3 linked regions of the Tamandua tetradactyla genome follow. The main gene of each other region encodes a partner of the protein of the gene in region 3 in a complex. Links are inferred from orthologs where the notes say so. Each region holds a gene or a part of one and is shown on either strand. Other genes may lie near its edges. The genes, in order: UBQLN2, SEM1 and ADRM1.

Region 1 (7,195 bases), on a different chromosome or scaffold from region 3:
AATGATGATGATCATTATCATTACACGGTGTTTACTTTGAACAATTTTAAGCACTGTTCTAAGTGATTAACGTATGCTAATTTATTTGATTGTTAAAACAGCCCTTCATTTCACAGATGAAGAATACTGAGGGACAGAGATTATGTGCCCAATGTTATATAACTAATAAGTAGAAGTGATGAAACAAGGATTTGAATCTAAGTAGTCTGGATCTACTATGTCAAGATTGGATATTATATCAGTCATTAACTCTATAGACAGAAGAAAATGTTTCATTTATTTTAATTTGTATTGTTTTTTAATTTAAAGAAGATATTTTCCCTTTTTCTTCTTTCTCTTCCCTCCCTCCCTCTTTCCCTTTCCTTCTCCCTCCCTTCTTTGCTTTCTTCCTCTGTTCTACCCTTTTCTTCTTCCTCTTTGCCTTTGTTTTTCCTTTTGTAAGATACTAGCTCATGTCCTTTATCTATTTTTTTCCCTTGGGGTTTTCATTAATTTAAATAGATTTGTAAAATTGTGTGTATGTAAAGGATATTAAGACTTCATATTTTATATATGTTGCAATTTTTTATTTTGCCTCTAACTTTAAAGATTAAAAGTTTAACATTAAAAGTTTCTATTGTATTTTTGACATATACACGTTTCAAATTCTTATTTAACCAAACTCATCAATCTTTTCATTTATGGGTTTTTTTTTTGTTATTTAACCTAGTATTTTTCTGCAAATTTTATAATTTTATTTATCACCTGTAATTTATTTTAATATTTGACATGAAGAGCCACAGATGACTGTCTTTCCAACACTGTTAATGGTTCATTATTTTTCTTATGTTGTTTCTGTCATTTCAGTGGAAATTTGGTAAGGAGGGGTGGAAAATGCACAAACTCAGTCACCACCTTGAACAAGAAAGCTGATTTATTAAACAGATAATTATTTAACTACTTGCTCATTTTCATTCATGTTTTTTACATGGTCTGTTCAGGTTTTCTACTTCTTCAATGTATTTTGGTCATGTTATTTTCCTAGAAAAAATCGGTTTGCCTTTGTTATTAGCAGACATTTGCATGAAGTATTCCCTCACAATTTTTAAAAATCTCTCCTTCATCTGTGGTTAATCTACTCATGCAACCCAGTTTTGTTTGTCTTGCTACTGTTTGCTTAAGTTTCAGCTAACTAATATTGGGCATCTCACTAGTTAAGGCATGCTTGTTCAACTACGGAATGTTAATTTTATTTCACTGTAACTCATTAGAAACATTAAAATGGATGTATTTTGAAACAAAACACACAAAAAAAGCATGTGATTTATAAGAGAAAAGAGAATTCAAAGAAATGTGCTTGTTATGGACATCTTTGGGGAGGGTTCCAGCCTCCTTTTCTGTGTACTTTGGTGAGGGAATTGTGAGCTAAGAGAATCACTAAACTAATAGTGATTTATCTGATTGATTTGTTTTTTCAAAGAACCTCTTAGATTTATTTAACGAATTTTATTTTTGTGTGTTAATTCATTATTAATTGCTTTTTGCATTTTGTAGCTGGCACCCTGCTTTCCACATTATTTTCCTGTTGAACATTTTTAAACTTCTTTATATAAATGCCTAATTCTTTTATTTTCATTTTTGTGTTTAAGGTCTTCGAGTGTATAAATCTGATTCTGAGTTCATCCACATAGTATAACGTATATAAAATATTCTTAATCAGGAGCTTATTAAGAATTCAGATTCCTGGGCACTAGTATTTCAGTAAGTTTGGGGTGAGGTCTAGAAATTTGCATTTTTAGCAAGGGCTTCAGGTCACATTTAAGGAAACCCTATCCTAATTGTGACATATATTTTTCTCATTATTGTTATTTTTCTAAATAAGAACTTGGATTTGCATTTTGTTCCAAGAGTGTTTGGTTTTAATTTTCAAGTGGTTGAGTTTTTCATCCATATTAGCTTTGTTTATTAGAATGAAAGAAGGTGGCCTGTGATGTTTTCCTATTTTTCTTTTTTTTTGAGAAATTTAAGAATACACAAAAATACAAACAGTATTACAACAAATATTCATATTCTCACCACCCAGAATTAGCTATTGCTGATATTTTGCTTCCATTAAAAAACGAAATACCTTTTTATGGATTGAATTCAAGTTCCCTTTAATCACTATCTGGGTTTTATTCCATTTACTCTTCCTCAGGGTGTAACCACTGGTGCATCAAATATGTATGAATGCATCTATAAACACTATAGATGTTGTTTTGCATGTACTAATTAAGTTTTTTGAGATCTATACATATTGATATATTTAGATTGAGGTCATTCATTTTACCTTGTATTTTCCATTAATCATGTTAGTCATAATATATTAATCTCTATTCCCCTATTGATGGACCTTAGGTACCTGATTTTCTCTTAATCTTGAGATTTATTAAAGTATTGTGGCCTATGACTGTCAAATGATGTTAAATGTTCCTTGGATACTAAAGGAAAATAGAATTTTCTGGATGGTGTAAACCAGCTTTACAAATTTATCCATAAATTGGAAATTTATTGTATTATTCAAGTATTCTTTCTTAACATTACATCTCTATTTATCCTACTTAATTTGTAAAAGAATGAGGTAAATATATTAATAACTGCCACTAGTCATGTCAAACTCTACGTATATGCTTGTCTAAAAATAACTGCTTTTTAAAAAATTATGACTGCAGTGCTTACTTTTAAAAATCATCAGGAAATTCAAAACATTATTAAAAAAATAAGAATTATAACTTCAGCACTCAGCAGTAGCCATCATTAATATATTGGTATATAGTGTTCCAGATTTTTTACACATACAGTTTACTTATACAAACTGTTCAAAAAATAGTTTTAAAATAAAAATATCTTCATTGAAGTTTTTGGTATTAAAGCGTACATACTTGTAAAATTCCAAACTATACGGAAATATATAAAGCAGAAAGCAAAATTCTCTTACTTCCCTACAACTGATGTTTATTAATGTATGCCCTAAAGATTTTTTTATGCCATATAAATTAACCACACATTTTTAAACATAGTGCATATTATTTTATTGGTAATAGCATAAGGTATTTGATCGATCTGTGTAAACAAACACTGATTATCTTTTTAAAATGCTACTTTTAAAATGTTGCAGTGATATATATTTTATACATATATATTTTGCATAATTATCTGATTTTATCAGGTGAGGTCTCTGGATAAGGCATTTCTAAATAAAAGTAGAAATATTTAAAATGTTTGTATATATTTTCAAATTGCTTTATAGAATGAATGATTGTAATTCACACTTCAACTAGCATGAGAATGCATTTTGCCAACTCCCTGCCAACGGTAAGGTTTATCACTATTTTCCATATTTGCCAGCAAGGTAGGCCAAAAGTGGAATCTCATTGTTTTAATTTGAAATTTTTTTCATTACTAGCGAGATTGATCATCCTTTTATCTGCCTATTGGCCATTTGCACTTCTTTTGTAAAAATGTTCGCTTTTGTGCTGTAGTCTCCCCTTCCCCCATTGGGGGTGTTCCTTTTTTTCTTTTTGCTTTGTCAGAGTTATTATTCGTTTTTCGTCTTTTACACTGGATCGGTTCGATTCAGGCTTTTCACCTTTTCACTGCCTTATAGACTGCTAACATATATTCTCCATGGATTTTTAAATGCCGTATACAGAGACTCGCTCCTTCTCCTCCCTGCCTCCCTTCTCTATTTTTTTTTTTTTCTCTTTCTCTCTCTCCCCTCTTTTCTTTTCAGTACAGAAGTTTCTAATTTCCTCGGAGTCAAATCTATCAATCTGGGCTTGGCGCCGCGTCAGGAAAGGGGAGCCGGGAGGCGGGCGCCGAGCTGGGGGAGGGGAGGGAGGAGGGGAAGGGGCGTGGAGGAGCGGGCGGAGCGGCTGCGGGAGTTGCTGGGAGTGCTCGCGGTTTCATCACACGGCGGCGGCGGCGGCGGCGTTGGCGGCGTTGGCGGCGGACCGGAACCCTGATCGCTGAGACCTAGGCTCTAGGCTTACGTCGAGCTCTCTCACCATCGGAGCACCAGGAACCGGAGGAGGCAACGTTCGTTACAGAGGTACCGTGTTCCGCGCTCCCTGCCCGGCCCGGCCCGGCCCTATCCGTTGCGGCGGCGCCCCTTTCCTTCCTCCTTCCCTCGTTCTCTCGCCCGCCCGCGCCTTCCCTGCCCGCCTGCGTCACCGCGGCCGCCATGGCTGAAAACGGCGAGAGCAGCGGCCCTCCGCGCCCCTCCCGCGGCTCTGCTGCGGCCCAAGGCCCGGCCGCTGCCCCGGCCGAGCCCAAAATCATCAAAGTCACTGTGAAGACTCCCAAAGAGAAAGAGGAGTTCGCGGTGCCAGAGAATAGCTCGGTCCAGCAGTTTAAAGAAGCGATTTCGAAACGCTTCAAGTCCCAAACCGATCAGCTAGTGCTGATTTTTGCTGGAAAAATCTTGAAAGATCAAGATACCTTGATCCAGCACGGCATCCATGATGGACTAACTGTTCACCTTGTCATCAAAAGCCAGAACCGACCCCAGGGCCAGTCCACGCAGCCTAGCAGTGCCGCGGGAACTAATACTACCACGACGTCGACTCCCAGGAGTAACTCCACACCGATTTCTACAAATAGCAACCCGTTTGGATTGGGGAGCCTGGGAAGTCTTGCAGGCCTTAGCAGCCTGGGCTTGAGCTCGACTAGCTTTTCTGAGCTTCAGAGCCAAATGCAGCAGCAGCTCATGTCCAGCCCTGAGATGATGATCCAAATAATGGAAAATCCCTTTGTTCAGAGCATGCTTTCGAATCCCGACCTGATGAGGCAGCTTATTATGGCCAATCCACAGATGCAACAGTTGATTCAAAGAAACCCAGAAATCAGTCACCTGCTCAACAACCCTGATATAATGAGGCAGACCCTCGAAATCGCCAGGAACCCAGCAATGATGCAAGAGATGATGAGAAATCAAGACCTGGCTCTGAGCAATCTCGAAAGTATCCCAGGTGGCTACAATGCTCTAAGGCGCATGTACACTGACATTCAAGAACCGATGCTGAATGCCGCACAAGAGCAGTTTGGGGGTAATCCGTTTGCCTCGGTGGGGAGCAGTTCCTCTGGGGAAGGTACGCAGCCTTCCCGCACAGAAAATCGAGATCCACTGCCCAATCCATGGGCGCCACCACCGGCTACACAGAGTTCTGCGACCACCAGTACAACCACCAGCAGTGGCAGTGGGTCTGGCAGTAGCTCTAGCAATGCTACTGGAAACACCCTGGCTGCAGCCAATTATGTTGCTAGTGTCTTCAGTACCCCTGGAATGCAGAGCCTGCTGCAACAGATAACTGAAAACCCTCAACTGATCCAGAATATGCTGTCTGCACCCTACATGAGAAGCATGATGCAGTCGCTGAGCCAGAATCCAGATCTGGCTGCACAGATGATGCTGAACAACCCGCTCTTTACAGGAAATCCTCAGCTGCAGGAGCAGATGCGTCCTCAGCTCCCAGCCTTCCTGCAGCAGATGCAGAATTCAGACACACTATCAGCCATGTCAAACCCCAGAGCAATGCAGGCTTTAATGCAGATCCAGCAGGGGCTACAGACATTAGCTACAGAAGCACCTGGTCTCATTCCAAGCTTCACTCCAGGTGTGGGGGTGGGGGTGCTGGGAACCGCCATCGGTCCTGTAGGCCCAGTCACTCCCATAGGCCCCATAGGCCCCATTGTCCCGTTTACCCCCATTGGGCCCATTGGGCCCATCGGACCCACTGGCCCTGCAGGTCCTACTGGCCCTGCCGGTTCTACCGGCCCCACCGGGCCCACCGTGTCTAGTTCTGCACCGAGTGAAACCACGAGTCCGACGTCAGAATCTGGACCCAATCCGCAGTTCATTCAGCAAATGGTTCAGGCTCTAGCTGGAGCAAATCCTCCACAGCTGCCGAATCCAGAAGTCAGATTTCAGCAACAACTGGAACAGCTCAACGCAATGGGGTTCTTAAACCGTGAAGCAAACTTGCAGGCCTTAATAGCAACAGGAGGCGACATCAATGCAGCTATTGAGAGGCTGCTCAGCTCCCAGCCATCATAATTGCATTTCTGATCCTTGAAAAAAAATGTATCTTATTTTTGATAATGGCTCTTAAATCTTTAACACAGGCAAAAAAAAAAAAAACGACAACCCGTGCTTTATGTTTATTTGATTCTTTTAAATCTGTCTAGTTATAAATCTAATATGATGCATTTTAAGGTGGAGTCCTTCCTCCCTCTCTCCCTTCCCTCCCTCCCTCCTTCCCTCCTTCCCTCCTCTGTTTTGAATGGTGAGAATCAATGCTGTTTCACTCTAAGGTGTTGCATGCAAACACTTCTCTTTATTCTGCATTTATTGTGATTTTTGGAAACAGGTACCAACCTTCACAGTTGAGTGAATAAGTTTTGTCTTACAGATGTTTATTTGCATTTTAAGCATTAGCCTATGATAGTAATTTAATGTAGAATGAAGATATTAAAAACAGAAGCAAATCATTTGAAGCTCTCTAATTTGTGGTACAATATTGCTTATTGTGACTTTGGCATGAATTTTTGCTAGCAAAATGCTGTAAGATACCACTCATTGACCTTTTTGCTATGTTTGTACACGGTACAGTAAGCACAATTGGAACTGTACATCTTCTGGATAAATTACAATAGACTCTGTGAACAGAATATATGTAATCAAAATAAGAAAGAATACAAGAAATATTTCTGAAGCTAGGTATGTCTCCGAATCTTGTAGAATCTTACAGCATCTTTGATAAACTCAGTGAAAATGTTGGCTAGGCAAGTTGAGTTAAAATATAGTAGAAATGTTTATCCTGGTTATCTCTAAGTATACATTTAATTGTACAGAAAACTTACAGTGTACCATTGTGTTAACTTTTGCAGATAGACTGTAAATGACTTTAATCTTAGTGCAGCCTGAAGGATCAATGTAGTTATGCGAGAAAAGTGCTTTTTACCTAAGGCTTCCTTCTCAGTTTCTCTCATAAAGAGACAGACCCTAATGCATTTTGATTTGTAATTGGAAATGTAATTTTCACTGAAAGTGTCATGTGATGTTTCAACTACTTTTAACTGTTATGTATAAAGGAAACTGTATCTTTAGACTTTATCAGCTATTTCTCTTGTGCACAGGGAAAAATACATTAAAATGACTAAAAAAAATAAAAAATTA
Region 2 (7,430 bases), about 59 Mb from region 3:
TTCATAGTACAATTTTTCCTTGTGTGGGACCGGTCTATGCATAGCAGGACATTTAAAATCCTTAACCTCTATTCACTAAATGCTGGTAGTTACTTCACACTCCCACCCACAGAGTAAACGGACACCCAAATAAATTCTCCGAGTTAAAAACCAGTATAAGATAACATACTTCTTTGTGAGGGAAAAGGGAGAGTGCCTCTGTTATTACAGAATGCTGAACAGCATTAGGGAGCCATCAGCTTTTTGTCTTTCTCAACAGACACAGTCTCATCAATAACCACAGGAGTTATCCAATGTGGGTAGGGAGATGGGTAATAATCCTGCTCCTGATTTCTTCAAACTACCCAGCAGTTTCATTGGCTATAAAAAAATAAAAAATAAAAATTATAGAATACCTATTAGCATTCTCTTGCAAATACCATTACTTCTGAAGGCAAATTCAATTACATTTTAAATATTCTTAAGATTTTTCCATAACGCAACAAGAACAACTTCCAGTTCCTTTATAAAATAAAAGTTCTCGTTCCCTAAAAGGACTAAATTAACATCCCACCAAAGAAGTTCTTATCTAGGATGAGATGGAGGGACAACACTGCCAAAAGGCAGACAATTCGCTGGTCAAATTAGGGACACACAATTTCAGTAATAACCAGTAATGGCTTTCATGTGGCAGGCTCTATTCTGCAAACTCCCTTAGACAGGAACAGCGTCCATTCTGTGTAGGACCTGAAACTCATCAGGGCCTTTAAAAGTAAGATTTCCTAAAGGTCAGTAGTATTAAGATGGTTAGAGGCATGCTTAACAACGGTAATTTCATTTTTTATCTGCTAGTAAGTTTGTTAATGGCAAATTTACCAGAAAGACAATCACACACACACACACAAATACCCAAAGGGAAAGCACTTGAAAGTAATTAATAATTGAACCAAAAACTCAAAACTGAAAGACTCAAAATAAGCCAATGTTTTAAAAAGCAGCCCCTCTCAATTTTAATTCCCAAATCTCTTGGGAATCTTAGTCAAGTCGAGACTGATTCAATAGGTCTAAAGTGAGGGCAAGATGCTGCATTCTAACAGGCTCCCAGGTAGTATCAAGGCTGCTGGTCCATGGATCATATTTTCAGTAACAAGGACAACTCAACATGATTAGGCCAAAAATATAAGAAATACACAGTCTCAAAGATAAATTATTCCTTAGTAACACTTTTCCAAGTTGCCTGTTATTTATCAGAGCAGTTTATATTAGTTAGTAAATATTTAGTAATTTCACCCAGCCAGCTAACTTTGTTTCCAGCAAAATCTCACTAATTCAAATTAGCATGTTAGGAAAACCTATTCGAACTATAAACCAGAGAAGAAAACTACTTGAATAAAAGCCATTGTTGTTTCTCAAGAATGAATTAGGTACCACTTCAAACTTAAAAACAAATATTCTGTAAGGTAACCAATAAATGGTGAGTTACTTAATACTACAAACCAGTCTACCATGAGATGCCTTTGTCTTTTGAGAAAATATTTTAAGCATCTTTGCTTTTCCTCTTCATTTTAGATGGAGTCTTTTACTAAGTAACTAGCAACTAGCAAAAATTTGCTGCTCACCACATAAACTTAGAACACGAACAAACTACACAAAGTAAAAACAGATGAAATACAAGTTGCTGAAACAAATCAAATGTACATGAAGTTTGACTAAGAAGTGAATCCTGCCCTCAGTGAGTCACTTTTCTACTACATAGCTCAGTGTTTGGGGATTATCAATCAACTTGAAAAGAGAGTTAAAAAAAAACCTTGACTGGATAAATCAACCAACAAAAAAAATACAAAAACCAAACAACGCTCACGACATATAATGAACTCCAGAATTCAAAAGAAATGTGCTTTAGGTTAGTCTGAATTCCTCTAGCATTCATACTAATGTTCTCTTCCACTAAACAAAACAGAGCACAAGATAAATAAAATAAATGCTTCAGCTTATACCTTTAAGCACAATAGGAACATGATGGGGTACAATCTAGGACAATTTTAGTGAAGCATTAACTGCTTAATAAAACAGATGTGTATACCATTAATCACTCTTCTTTCTACCAACCACCTTCAGAAAAGCTACCTAAAGCTACCTAATAGTTAATTTCAGTTCCATCATTTCTAGCCAGTTGAATAAAACTGGCAAGTTTCTCAACCATTCCAAGCTTCTGTTTCTTTAGCTGAAAAGTTGTAATACCAGTACCCAAGTGCCTGTCAACATAGTAACCACTCAATAAGTATTACTATTTATGATTATAAATGATAGTTATGTGGTATTAACTTCACTGAGAAAACTAAAGGTCCTCCTGGCAACCATGGAAGTAAACTTAAAGTTAGTTCGAAACTAAGTGACCAAAAATGATGAACAAGCGTAAGGCAATACGTGAATTAAACAACACGGTCCTACGTAACAGGCTTCACTTTGCAACATCTTAGCATAACCAGGAAACAATTTAATTTTGGAAAGAAACGAAAGCTTCTTTAGCAACGAAAGCTGCTAAAACAAGGGAAAATAAAACAGACATGAACGTGGTGGAAGATAATCTAGTTTAAGTGTAAAAGAGCCATGTCGGACAGTGCTGGGAGCCCGGGGTCGCCATGCCTCCTCCCAAAGGAGAAGCCGTTTGACCTCGCCCGTGACTCCCACGGTGACAGCCGGGAGCCGAAGGCAGGGACGCGGAGGGTCGGGCGTCCAGGGCCTTACGAGAGCGCTGCGGAGAGCCAGACTTCTCGCCGGGGCCCCAGAGTCGGGCCCGAGCGGACACGCCGCTTCCACTCGGAGGCCTGAGTCACTGTCCGCGGGCACAGAGGCCGAAGGGCTCGGCCAGTTACCTTCGGCAGGGAACTCCTCGAACTCGTCGTCCTCCTCTAGGAGACCCAAGTCTACCGGCTGTTTTTTCTCTGACATCACGACTCTCCGCACCCAAAGCGAGGCCAGAAAGGAGAAAGGAAGCCTCACTCTTCCTTACAGCAATCTTCGCACAGCGACCGTCTCCGAGGCCGGCGCTACCATAGAGACGCCAGGGCAGAGCTACGGAACAGAGCGGTGAATGCTGGGATACTGAGGTCCGCCCAGCGCTTCCTGAGGGTTTAGCGGTCGTTCAGAGTTAGTGGGTTATTTGCGTCTTCACCATTTTAAGTGGACACTTTTAATTGTCGAATTTGTGTTCACTGTAGGTTTCCCTGACTGGGAAAGATACATAATATGCAGAAAAATTAAACACTTTTACTTGGTTTACAGTTGAGACAGGAAATCTAAAGAGGTAGACTGCATAAAGATCTAGTTTACTTATATTCATAAAAGGCCCACCAAGTGCCAATCCCTTAACATTCCTTTCCTCCAGTCCTTAAACCAGTTACTAGGCATGAGATTAAGTATCTCCACATCACCGAAAATTCAGGTTCAGGAAAGAACAGCAAAAGTCACTCAGGTAGTGTTAGAGAATGTATATATGCATATATATTTGCCTGCCTTCCATACTTGTCCATTATGCTTTTTCCTCTGTCTGGGAATTACTGTGTGGTGAATAACATGTTAACAAGAGTTTCTCTCTCCTTTTAGATAGATCGATCGATAGATAGATAGAGAGAAACTCTTAACAGAATATTATAAAATAATACTGTTAAAATGGATATTTGTAACATGTATTCAAAATATGTCATTTTGCATTCATGTTGATTATCATTTTGAATATAGTGGCAAACGATATGGAACTCTATATGTAATATATATGGATATGCAATATGGATGAACGCAGATGAATATTTTGGATCATATATAAATATACATATAATTGACTATAATTGTAAATTTAGATACATGTGTTTGTGTATTTAAAACCCATTCCTTCATTCAAAACATTAGTTCACACCACATACCAGGTCCTGTGCTAGAAATCAAACATGTAACATAAAGTCCTTCCCCTCATATTTCACTCAGAGACATGTAAACAGATAAATCACAATGAAACATGGTAATTTATTTGAATCTCCATTTTAAAATAAAATTATGTGGGGAATTATTTGAACAGGAGTACAGAGAATAGAGCAACTAAAGAGAAAACAAATTTGGATCCACAATTAGGTGTAATTTTTAAAAAGCCCCTATAATAGTACTTTGATCTGAAATGCTTACTGAAAATATTGGTGGTCTTAAAACTAGGCTGAAATAGATGTAATTTGGCATGTTATATAAATAAATACCAAATTAATAAAAGAAGAGAAAAATGAGCAAAATAAAAAATTCTAAGTACATTTTAAAAGTATGTATTATAATCCTGCATATTAAAGTAGTTTGTATGGTAGCATTTGCTCACTTGATGAGGTCCCTTAGAGTCACATATTCCTTATCATCCCCATGTTACTGGGAACCACACACCAAGGTGAAGCTTTGGGTAGGCAGCTTGACTTAGGCAGCAAAGAATAAAAAGAAAATCACATGTGCGCACAACTATGTGATGATACTGTGAGCCAGTAATTGTGTAATTCAGATGGTTTGTATAGTGTGTGAATATAGCTCAAAAAAATTGTATTTTTTTTTAAAAAAGCAAATTACAGAATTGAGACAGCCATTTTGTACAGTTAAAGATTTGCCCATAGAATCAATTAGGAAATTCAAATTCTAGTTCTTGGATTTATTATTCTCTTCATCTGTTACATGATGAAGTTTGAGTCATCAGTCCTTAGCAAAGGGAAAACTCAACAGCAATATTGTGATTTTTCCCTCTAAAACTTTATTAATCCAATTTAAATGAATAAATGCAAAACCAATAATATCAGTTACCCATTCTTTTTTTTTTGCTTGGGCAGGCACCAGTGATCGAATCTAGGTCTCCGGCATGGCAGGCAAAAACTCTGCCTGCTGAGCCACAGTTGCCCACCCTACCCATTCTTTTTTAAAGAAAATTTTACTGCTACATGAAATCGGAAGACTGGGAACTGAGAAATAACTTTTCATTTTAGTTGTCATGGTACATGGCACAGTGAGCAACTTCTCATTTTAATGGTCATGGCACATGGAAAATTTTTGAGAAATGAAAGTTATTAAAGTGTTAGAGGCATTATTGCTTAATTAAATTAAGCACATATGAATGTATATTTGATGAATCAGGATATCAATCCTGGATAAATTCTTTGTAAACAGTGGACTTAGGCAAATTACTTAATTTCTCTGAAATGCATTTGAGTCATTTCCACAATTATAGTGGAAATTAAATGAGGTCATGTATATAAAATACATGGTCAATACCTGACACATAATTAACAATCAATACATATGAGCTATTATTAAAGAAAGGACTTAAATTTTAAAATATCTCAGCCTCCAATATTAGTCAGGGTTCTCTAGAGAAACAGAACCGAAAGGAGATTTCTGTAAATATGAGATTTTATTAAAATAGCCCATGCAACTGCAGGGATGCACAAGTCCAAATTCTGTAGGGCAGGTTGCAAGCTGCCAACTCTGCTGGTTTTCAGTGAATTCTGAAGTAGAGAAAGAGAGGTTCTCTCTTCTGACTTCTTCTTTGGATTATATGTCAACCAACTGTATTAAATGTCTCTCATTGCTGAAGAAACTCTCCTTAGTTGAGTATGGATTTAATCAGTCATAGATGCAATCAACTTACTGATGATTTAAGTCCATGAAACGTCTTCGCAGTAATGGTTTGCTTGACCAGACAACAGGGCACCATTACCTGGTCAAGTTGACACATAAACCTAACCATCACAGTCCACCCCTTGTCAATTTGGCAGCTATACACATCACTTTAAGCCATGCTTAATATCTAAATAAAAAACAATAACAGACATAGTTTTCACTTATTAATATTCAATTGTCTTGTATACAACCAGAAATGGACAAACTCTCTGCAGAATAGGGTGCAAGTCCTTGGGTAATATTCACTCTTAAACTTATTTCAACTTAAATACTATGACATGAATAATAAAACTTATGTCATATGATAGGGGATAAGATAGAAAAGAAAACATAGATATTTCCTTATGTACCAATACAAATGTGCTCATAACAAAATGAAGAAATATTCATACCATTACAGTCCTCATTCTTGTAACTGATCATGTGGTTATAGTTCATATTTAACACTACCTTATTCTACTACCCATTCCATGTTCCTTTACCCTCAGCAAGAACCTTAGCTGGCCATGGTTCTTTGCCTGGTGGGGTGACCCAAATCTTCATTCCTGAAGTTTCTGGGCCATTAATAGTCCTACCTGGATTGGGTTGTTGCAGTTTTCCAATGATGTTAATCACAGGGCATGGTAGTACTAAGAGATGTCCTAGTGGATCTCCTGTGTTCCAGGAAAACTCTTCTTTACCTCCACTATGTAGTTGCAGTCCTATTTCCCCTTGATAGTCAGGATCAATCATCTCAGCCATTGTAGTAATTCCTTTCTTGGCCTGTTGATTCAGAACAAGAGAAGCCCAAAGTGGCCAGATAGCAGTCTTAACTTACAGTTCAGTGGGATCATTGTTGTGTCTCCTGGAGGAAGCACTCCTCCTTTTGGAACTAAGACCTGTAGACCAGCAAAGCTTAAGATTGCAGGGACAGGAAGCAAAAATTTTTCTAGTGGAACTCTAGGAGTGACAGTGAGTGGTGCTATAAATACTGGCTATGAGAAAAACAGCACCATAGAGTAGACACTAATTGAGGGCATACACAGCCTCCTGGAAAACACTGTCCCAGCCCTGCAAGGTATTACCACCTAACTGGGGTGGTAATAGAGTCTTCAAAAGGCCATTCCACCATTCTTTCAATCCAGCTGCTTCAGAATGATGGGGAACACGGTAAATCCAGAGAATCCATCTGAAATGAAGTGTGCCCATTTCCATACCTCATTTCCATGAAATGCATTCCTTGATCAGAAGCAATGCTATGTGGAATACCATGATAGTGGATAAGGCATTCTATAAGTCCACAGATGGTAGTGTTGGCAAAAGCATTGCATGCAGGGAAGGCAAACCCATATCTGCAGTATATGTCTATTCCAGTTACAACAAATTCCTGCCCCTTCCATGATGGAAGTGGGTCAAATGTAATCAACCTGCCACATGGTAGCAGGCAGATCACCTTGGGCAATGGTGTCATATAAGGGACTGAGTATGGGTTTCTGCTGCTGGCAGATTGGGCACTCAGTATTAGCTATAGCCAGGTTAGCCTTGGTGAGTGGAATTCTATTTTGCTGAGCCCATGCATAACCTCCATCCCTACCACCATGACCACTTTGTTCATGAGTTCATTGGGCAATGATAGGAGTGGCTGGGGGGAAGAGGCTGACTGGTATCCATAGAACAGGTCATCTTATCCATTTGATTATTAAAAGCCTTTCTCTGCTGAAGTCACTGTCTGGTGACCATTCACAGGGGACACAAATACCTTGATGTTTTTT
Region 3 (7,622 bases):
CCACAGTGGGCAAGTCGCAGCCCCACCTATTCTCACAGGTAAAGTTTTATCAGAACAGGTTACGCTCATTCATTGACACAGCATCCATGCTGTTTCCATGCTACCAGATAGAGTAAGCATGAGACAGGAAACCATTTCTTCTCTGGCCCTCAAAGAAAGGGACCCAGCACTACCCAGCTGTGGGAGGAGGACAGCTGGGTCAGCCTCTGGGGAGGGGATGTGGCCACACCAGCCAAAACCACAAAAACACATCCACCCTGGGCATAAAGCAGGCCCACTGCTAGACATTAACGCACAGGTTATGCTCACACACAGGAAGTAACGTGTGTTTAAGAATATTTGCAACATGGCCTGTGGCAGCAAAAGAAATGAAACAAGCTCAAAGGCCACCAGTCAGGGGTAGAACTGATGCTGGTGTATTCAGTGGAATTCTCTACAGCTGTGGGGAGCAAGGCCGCCTTTGTGTGCTGACACGCAAGCACCTCCAAAACACCCCACGCAGGGAGAAAGCAGGCTCAGAGGGGTGTGGAGATGGTGCTCCCTTCTCTAAGTGCAGTGGGGAGTGGGACACAGTCGACTTCTGCTTCTCTGCTCTGGGGTGTCTTCGGGAACCTGTGAGGTGGGCAGTGGGTTACGAAAGGAGGGCAAAGTGCCCCCCAGATGCCAGAGGTGCATCCTAGCTGAAATCACTCATGTCTGCCTGCTGGGAAACCCAACTCTGCAAATCGGGGGTGCCGCAGGGCCCAGCCACCAGTCCCCAGGCCCTGGGATGGGACATTCCCCTCCACGACTCTTGATGCAAGTTAATACACTGAAATTTGTGCTCATTTGGTCCACACCAACCGGTCTGTCAAAGCAGATTCTACCATACAGGGTACAAAAGCAAGAAGAGACAAAACACGAGAAAAAACTTTCCACATACCTGCATCCAAAAGAAGAGCCGTTTGGACCCTGCCTTAAACTTCAGCACATAGACCCTCCCACTAGGACACTGCGGAACCCGCTTAAACTCACAGTCATCGGGGAAGATGATCAGGTCCTATGGAGCAAGGAGGGAAGAGCAGTGAGCAGGCGATGCCTGCACCTCAACAGCTCCAACACAGGCTGGGCCCTGGGCTGGTGGATGTGGGGGCAGAGAGCAGGAAGCCCCCAAGTCCCTCACCAGCGGATCCCACAGGGCGGGTCAGCCAGGTCAGAGGCAGCAGGAAGGGCAGAGCGAGGAGGAAGGTGGGAAGGAGGGCGGGTCCAGCCACTCACAGGGCCTGCAATGGGGACTAGGGAAGGCGGGTTTTCAGATCCTGAAGTTTTTAACAGAGATGCTGTGAGGACAATGCTATTGTTACTACCCTTTTTCAACCCCCCCCCCTTTTTTTTTAACTTAAGGAATTCTACTTTTAAATGTTTCTGGTATCCATATCATTTAGTTTTATACACAACTAGATCAACTGCTCCCAGACACATGCTCTCAAAATAACCCACTCTCAAATGGAAAAGGAACAATTTAGTCTGAAGAACGAGCAACACTAAATAAAGTGGCTACTGGAGAAAGCCTTCTTGAGGATAATAATAAAAGTCAAGCCAGTAACGTGGCTCCTCTAGTCCCGGGCACCTGACATTAAAGTTTCAGGGACCTACAGCGCAGGGAGACGTCCATTTAATCAAGACAAGGAAGAGCCGTAAACAAAGCAAATGGCCCATGAGGTGTCAAACCAACCCCCACCCCAATACCACCACCACCAACTGCGAAGCCACAAAAATCATTCTGAACTGTCAAACAGCCAGTGCTGTGCTCAGAGTACGTAGAGATGGCAGCAACACTTTCTTTTAGAAAACTACTGTTCTGAGGAGAGTTCACTGGGCTTTCTTAGGATGAAGCGTCAGCTTACGGCTACTTACATCTTCCACGTTCCCTGATGTCCTGTCTTTCCAGCAGAAGTGAATGAGGGAATCATCGGTCTGCTGAATGTACACAAGCCCTTTCCGTTTATCCGGGGTGACGGTAGTTCCTTTTAGTGACATTTTTCCTGCCCGAAACTCCACCAAATACTTGGTGGAGGATCCACGAGAGCCTGGCACCAGGCTAGGAAACAGGGCACCAGACGTCGTCATCCTGCAAAGAAAGAAACCAGCACTTAGACCCAGGGGGCATCTTGTGTGTTCGTTAGCACCAAAATTCTCCATTTCCTCCTCAAACGTCACAGCTGGCCCAGCTCTGAAACACCCTACTTCTGTGCTGGGGCTGTGAAGACCCCCGAGGACAGCTGCCCTGCTGGCCTCCCCGCCTGATCTAAGCAAAACTTCCTCAGGGTTAGGGGCCAGGAGCTCTAAGAGTACAACTGAGTCAAGTAAGAGGGCCAGACTTGAGCTTCTGTACGCGCAACATGGATACCACCTCTGTCCATATGGCTCTGAGCCTCGAACTGAGTAAGTCTTGTTTTGTGTCCTGAGCTCCCAAGAATTTTAAGAACTCGAGCGGAGGTGGCCAAAATACAGACATGAAATCCAAGGCGGGGCTTTGGGTTCAAACAACTAATTTGTCTTAACACGCGCCTGCTAAACTGCAACCCCACGGCGTCTTTCCCCTTAAAAAAGAGAAGCCGGCCACTCTGGGAAGTCAGGGCAGGCTCTGACTTGCTGGTCACCGGGAAGGGCACTCCGCCGGCCTCCGCCAAGCCCGGTCCGGAAGGCAGGGGCTCCCCGCCGCGAGCCCACCCTCCGCACCCCAAGCCAAGCAGGACGCCCGGCCACTGAAGGCCCGGGGCCGCTAACTGGAATCCCCGGGGAAGAGTGGGTTTGGAGGGGGCGGCCCTGCCGCTCGGGCCCCCAGCCCAGGGCACGCCGGCCTCGGGCCTTCCCGGGTGGACTCGGGGGCCAACGGACGGCCTCCCACGGAGCCAGCGGGCGGCGCAGACCCCGTCCGCTGCCCCACCCCTCACCGCCCCGGGCCGGCAGTAGCACCTAGCCTGCGCGGAGACTGCCGAGCTGCGCGGGACGGCTTCTCTCTTCCTCGTCCGCGGCGGCGGGGCCCCGCCGGAAGTGCCCGTTCTCCCCGCCCACACGCCGCTCTGCCAGCCGATTGGGCGTCCTCGGCGGAGCACCTGGCCATGACCCACCAGCGATTGGTGCAAGCGGCCGTTCATCGGCGCATCCCGCCCCCGGCGCCGGAGGAAGCGCGGCCGCGCCGGGCGGGCAGAGCGGCCCCCATTGTTGCTGTGTCATCGGGGAGCGGCGGCGGCCCCTACTGGCGGCGCCGGGAAGCGCGCGGCTGGGTGGAGGGTGGCGCGCCGGGGTCTAAGGAGCTGCGGCATCTGGGGCCGCAGCCGAGAGCTGCTCGTGGGACGTGGGACGTGGGCGAGGCAGGGTCAGTGCCACGTCCCTGAATTAACTGACACCAGTTGCAGCGAAGGCGGCGGGGAGCGCCCTGGGAGCGTGGCCGCCCGCGTGAGGGACTCCCGGGCCCCGCGGAGCAGCTCCGGGCGTGGAGGGCCTGGACGGGCTCCCCGCGGGTCGCTTGCAGCTGTCATCTGGTCGGACAGGCCAGAGGTTGGCAAAAATGTTAAGCCGCGCTCTGGCTCTCACTGCTGACTTTTCCTACCACTCCACCGTCTTCTGGATGGGCACTTATTCCAGTTTTTCACTATTAGAATGCTTCAACTGAAAAAAAATTTAATTGATTTAAGGATTCACTGAATTTTTTGTTTTAGAAAATATAGCTATTTTTTCATTAAAAAGATCATTTGTTAAATGTGGGTTTTTAACTGTTGCTTTTAAATTAATATTTTAAACTTTCATTTTAATATCTATTAAGGTAAATACCAATACATAAAACCTTCATAAACAAAAAGCTCATTGGTAGAGAAGGGACACCAAACAGATTGGGAATGGCTGGCGGAAGTGCAGGTGCAGATGCTGGTGAGTGGACCCTGCTCCTGCCAGTTGGGTGACCCGTGCCGTGCCCCTGTGGAAAAAAGTCGAAAAAACTGAGGGCATTCGATTTAACTTCCCAGAAAGGAGGCCACTGGCAAGTGTCATTTGTTCAAACTCAAGGAAATTTAAGGACTGCCCTGGAGAACACAAGAGACCAAATTAGCAGCACCCCAAGGCAGTGCTTCCCTTGGGGGCAGTGGCCTCAGAGGGGCCCCTAAATGTGGCATTTTTTGTTCACGCTAGGGGAGCCTTGTGTCCCGAGCTGACTCAAAACACAAACAAAAGACACGAAAGTCTTTGCACAACAATTTCTTTGAAAGCTCTACAGTCAGGAAACACGCTTCGGGGGCAGGCATGTGGACGCCTCTCTTGTCACCTCTGCCCCTCTGCCTGCTCTGCTCATTGTGTGCACTGCCTGAAGGGCCCTGGGAGAGGCCAGTGCCTGCCAGCAGCCCCCGCCGCAGAGGTGGCCCCCGGCGCGTCCTTAGTCCAGCCTGACTGAGCAGGGCTGCCTGGGCGGCTGGCAGGAAACAAGAGGAGACAGGTCAAGGTCAGCTAGGGCCTGGCACTCCAGAAACAGCAGTTGTCATTTTTATAATTGATCGTTGATTTATCCAAGGTAGTGGACAACACCTGCAACATGTCTTTAGCTTCTAGAAAAACAAAACAGCACCTCCAAGATGTGTATTCAGCTAAGGGGTTTGGGCTAACTAAGCAGATCCCCTAAAGGAAACAGTCTCTATAGCCTTGTTTTGGGGGTGGGTGGAGGGAAGCACAAACAAACCCAACAGCTGGACCCGAGCTGAGGCCCTTAGATGAAAGGTGGCTGTCCCTCGGATGGCATTTAAAAGTGGACAGAAGACATGAACAGACGTTTCACAGAGGAGGACAGACAGATGGCAAATAGCACATGAAAAGATGCTCAACATCATTAGTCATAAAGGAAATGCAAATTAAAACACGCCTATTAGAATGGCTAAAAGGCAAACAAAGGAAAAACAAAGGGAACGGTCCTGGCAGTACCAAGTGCTGGGAGTTCGGGGTGGTGCTGGGAAGACAAGACATTTAAATGCACGCACTCGATGATGCAGCCGTTCCACGCCCAGGTGTCTACAGCCAAGAGACAGGGACGGCCTGTGTACATGTCTGAGGTGACATTTTTTCCCACTTGCCCATGCTCCAGAAAGAAGCCAGCCTGGAGGGAGCGGCAGAGCTGCAGGACAAAAGCTGATCAGTGGTTGCTGGGGCTGACTACAAAGGGGCACGGGGGAAATTTTTGGGGTGCGGGCAATGGTTGAGTCTTGACTGTGGTGGCACTTACAAGACAGGAAGGATGTGTTTGTCAAAACTCCCCTGACTTGACCGCCCAGCTAAAGGTGAACTCCCCGACTCCAGATGCGAGGCCCTGGCAAGTCCACCTCCAGCACCTCCTTTGTCTCCTCTGGGAACCAGGCTGGGCGGTCACTTTGGGGAGACCGTGACACCAGTCCCAGAGCCCGGCAGGACTGCACGGTGGGAACTCTGGGAGGCACTGGCTGTACGTCTTCCCAGAGCCCAAACACGGCAGCCCAGGGACAGCAGGCAGCCGTCGGGGCTGTGGAGGGCAGACACCCAGCAGTGGGAAGCTGCAGTCAGGCCAGCACAAGCCCTGGATGCCTAGGGCTTCGGGACAGGCCCCGATCCCTGGGAAAGGGCTAGTTAACCCGAACTTCCCACCGCTCAGAGAACCCAGGACTCCTAGTCCACCAACTGTAGCCATCCAACTGTGTTGTGAGTGGTCCTTCATCCCCCTCTGGGTCCAGCATTTTCCAGAAACCATCCATTTTCTGGGCTGATCCCAAAGAACAGATGGTTCAAGGACCTGATATCTGGGAACAAGAGCTTATCTGCGGCAGATTTGCAGCCCTCTCCCAAAACGCAAGAGTGGCTGAGACAATGAAAAATTGTTTGAGAAAGAAATATCAATATATAACCCATTTTCAAAGAACTTTTATTCAGAGCTAGAATTTTTTATCTCCACAGACATGTACACAGTCTTCAAAAAAATATCTAAGAATGACTGATTCTGTTAGTACAAATGGGTACTGAGGGCTATCAAGTAATATAGAAATAAGCCCATTTCACGAATGTCTTTTCTTGCCCATGTTCTCACACTATACTGACAGACAAACTCAGTGTGGCAAAGGACCAGCCAAACACCCAGGAACGGGCAGCCCGAGGAGTCCCTGGGACAGGCACAGAGTGGGTGGGGACAGCTGGACACGTGTGTCGTGTCCACCCTCCACAGGGTCAAGTCCGCAGCACTAAGGATCTGACTCACAACAAAAAGGCCACATGGCAGTTGGTTAAGGACAGGCTGCTGTCCAGCAAACGTCGAACCAAGAAAGGCCTCAAAGTTTGGCTTCACTTTGCAAATATCTCACACTGAGAATGTAGATGACGGCAGGACAGGTCCCCGGAGAGGCTCACGAAGGTGTGTGGCCCAAGGCTAGTGATTTTCAAGATCTCCTCTGTACCTAAGTCGGATGTAGGGAAGTTCTTTGGAAGCTAATGTTGAGACAGGAAGAAACTAGGCTTAGTAGAAACTGACGGTTGCACTCTTCCCTGCTTCAATCGTTCTGTGTGGATACAACTCTTCACTACCATGCAAACCCAAGCGTGAAGCAGGGCAGGGCGCTCAGTGCTTCTGAACACTTGAACACTATTAAAAGCCTCACTCTGTTCTTCATTTCACGGAGGCCTGTAACGCTTGTGCCAGGTAGAAATCCTACCCAGAGAGCAGTGTCCTTGAGGGAAGCTCCCTGCTGCTTGCTCACCTGCATCCTACTAGTGGCCCAGCTTAGTGTTCAGAGGACCCAGCAAGCACAGGCCACCACCCCACAACTATGGCCAGCGGTGCTCTTGGCTCAAGGCCCCAGGGCCCATCCAAGCTGCGCTTAGCTCCTTCTCCAGTGGCCACAACTAGAGAGCTATTCTCCCCACTGCAGCCTCGCTGGCAGCTCGTGGCTCTCATTTTTAAACAGGCAGAACTGTGAGCTGAAAGAAGGCAGTGGCCCCAAAGTAAACGAGCGCCCCTCAGAGAGTCCCTGCTCTGGCCTGCAGCCTGAGGGCCTGCCCATTCCTTCATGGAAGGCTCCAGAAACTCCCTCCTGAGCATTCATGTCTATAAGGAAGCAGAGGTCCCTTTGGGCACCTTCCTCATCAAAGGCCCATCACGGTTCTGGTTTCCAGGGCAGGCTGGAGTGGCAAAGTCCCATGATGCCCATAAAGGGCTCAGAGCCTGCCTTTCTGCTCCCTTCTGGCTTTGGGGAGCTTCAACACAGTCGGGGGAGCCCCGGTCCGGATGGAGAGCCCACAGCCCAGACAGGGAGCCCACAGGCAGACAGAGCAGAAGGAGGACAGCCTACACTCCTCCCTGCCACCCTCCGCAGCCCTGGGAGCACCACAGCACGTTTCTCTTTCACATACAGTGGACTTTAAGGGTGTCTGTCTTTTTGTCCTTAAACCTCCAGGGCCCTTGATACCTGTGCATTAAATCAATGAACGCATAACTGAGTCCTAAATTCAATTAGGAACAAAATTTAAAAATACAAAGCTCTGTTGAGAAACAAAATTTCTCATGAGGCGGTTCCAAGTTAAAGGCTACTTTTAAAATAGCACATGGGTCCTTCTATTGAGGTCAGCACTCAGCACGC

The links.
Region 1: the proteins of ADRM1 (region 3) and UBQLN2 are in contact, whole or in part, in an NMR structure (PDB 2NBV), measured with the Homo sapiens proteins. The link is inferred for Tamandua tetradactyla from reciprocal best matches to the Homo sapiens genes ADRM1 and UBQLN2. Residues at the interface, in NP_008933.2 of Homo sapiens: Asp54, Ser55, Leu56, Asp72, Leu73, Ile74, Phe76, Pro77, Asp78, Asp79, Phe98, Lys99, Ala100, Gly101, Lys103; in NP_038472.2 of Homo sapiens: Lys38, Ile75, Phe76, Ala77, Gly78, Lys79, Ile80, Leu96, Thr97, His99, Val101, Lys103.
Region 2: ADRM1 (region 3) and SEM1 share a complex: the UniProt entries of both Homo sapiens proteins name them as parts of the 19S proteasome regulatory particle complex. The link is inferred for Tamandua tetradactyla from reciprocal best matches to the Homo sapiens genes ADRM1 and SEM1.

The regions. Positions count from the first base shown.
Region 1 is NC_135353.1:112,470,140-112,477,334, reverse strand, and holds the start of UBQLN2 (ubiquilin-2), read left to right. Parts: upstream 1-4,186; 5' UTR 4,187-4,201; coding exon 4,202-6,073; 3' UTR 6,074-7,195. UniProt on the Homo sapiens protein: Plays an important role in the regulation of different protein degradation mechanisms and pathways including ubiquitin-proteasome system (UPS), autophagy and the endoplasmic reticulum-associated protein degradation (ERAD) pathway.
Region 2 is NC_135327.1:119,113,627-119,121,056, reverse strand, and holds the start of SEM1 (26S proteasome complex subunit SEM1), read right to left. Parts: upstream 3,061-7,430; 5' UTR 2,932-3,060; coding exon 2,856-2,931; intron 1-2,855. UniProt on the Homo sapiens protein: Component of the 26S proteasome, a multiprotein complex involved in the ATP-dependent degradation of ubiquitinated proteins.
Region 3 is NC_135327.1:59,869,110-59,876,731, reverse strand, and holds the start of ADRM1 (proteasomal ubiquitin receptor ADRM1), read right to left. Parts: upstream 3,094-7,622; 5' UTR 2,959-3,093; intron 2,862-2,958; exon of another isoform or gene 2,551-2,861; intron 2,498-2,550; exon of another isoform or gene 2,393-2,497; intron 2,111-2,392; 5' UTR 2,110-2,110; coding exon 1,897-2,109; intron 1,040-1,896; coding exon 923-1,039; intron 1-922. UniProt on the Homo sapiens protein: Component of the 26S proteasome, a multiprotein complex involved in the ATP-dependent degradation of ubiquitinated proteins.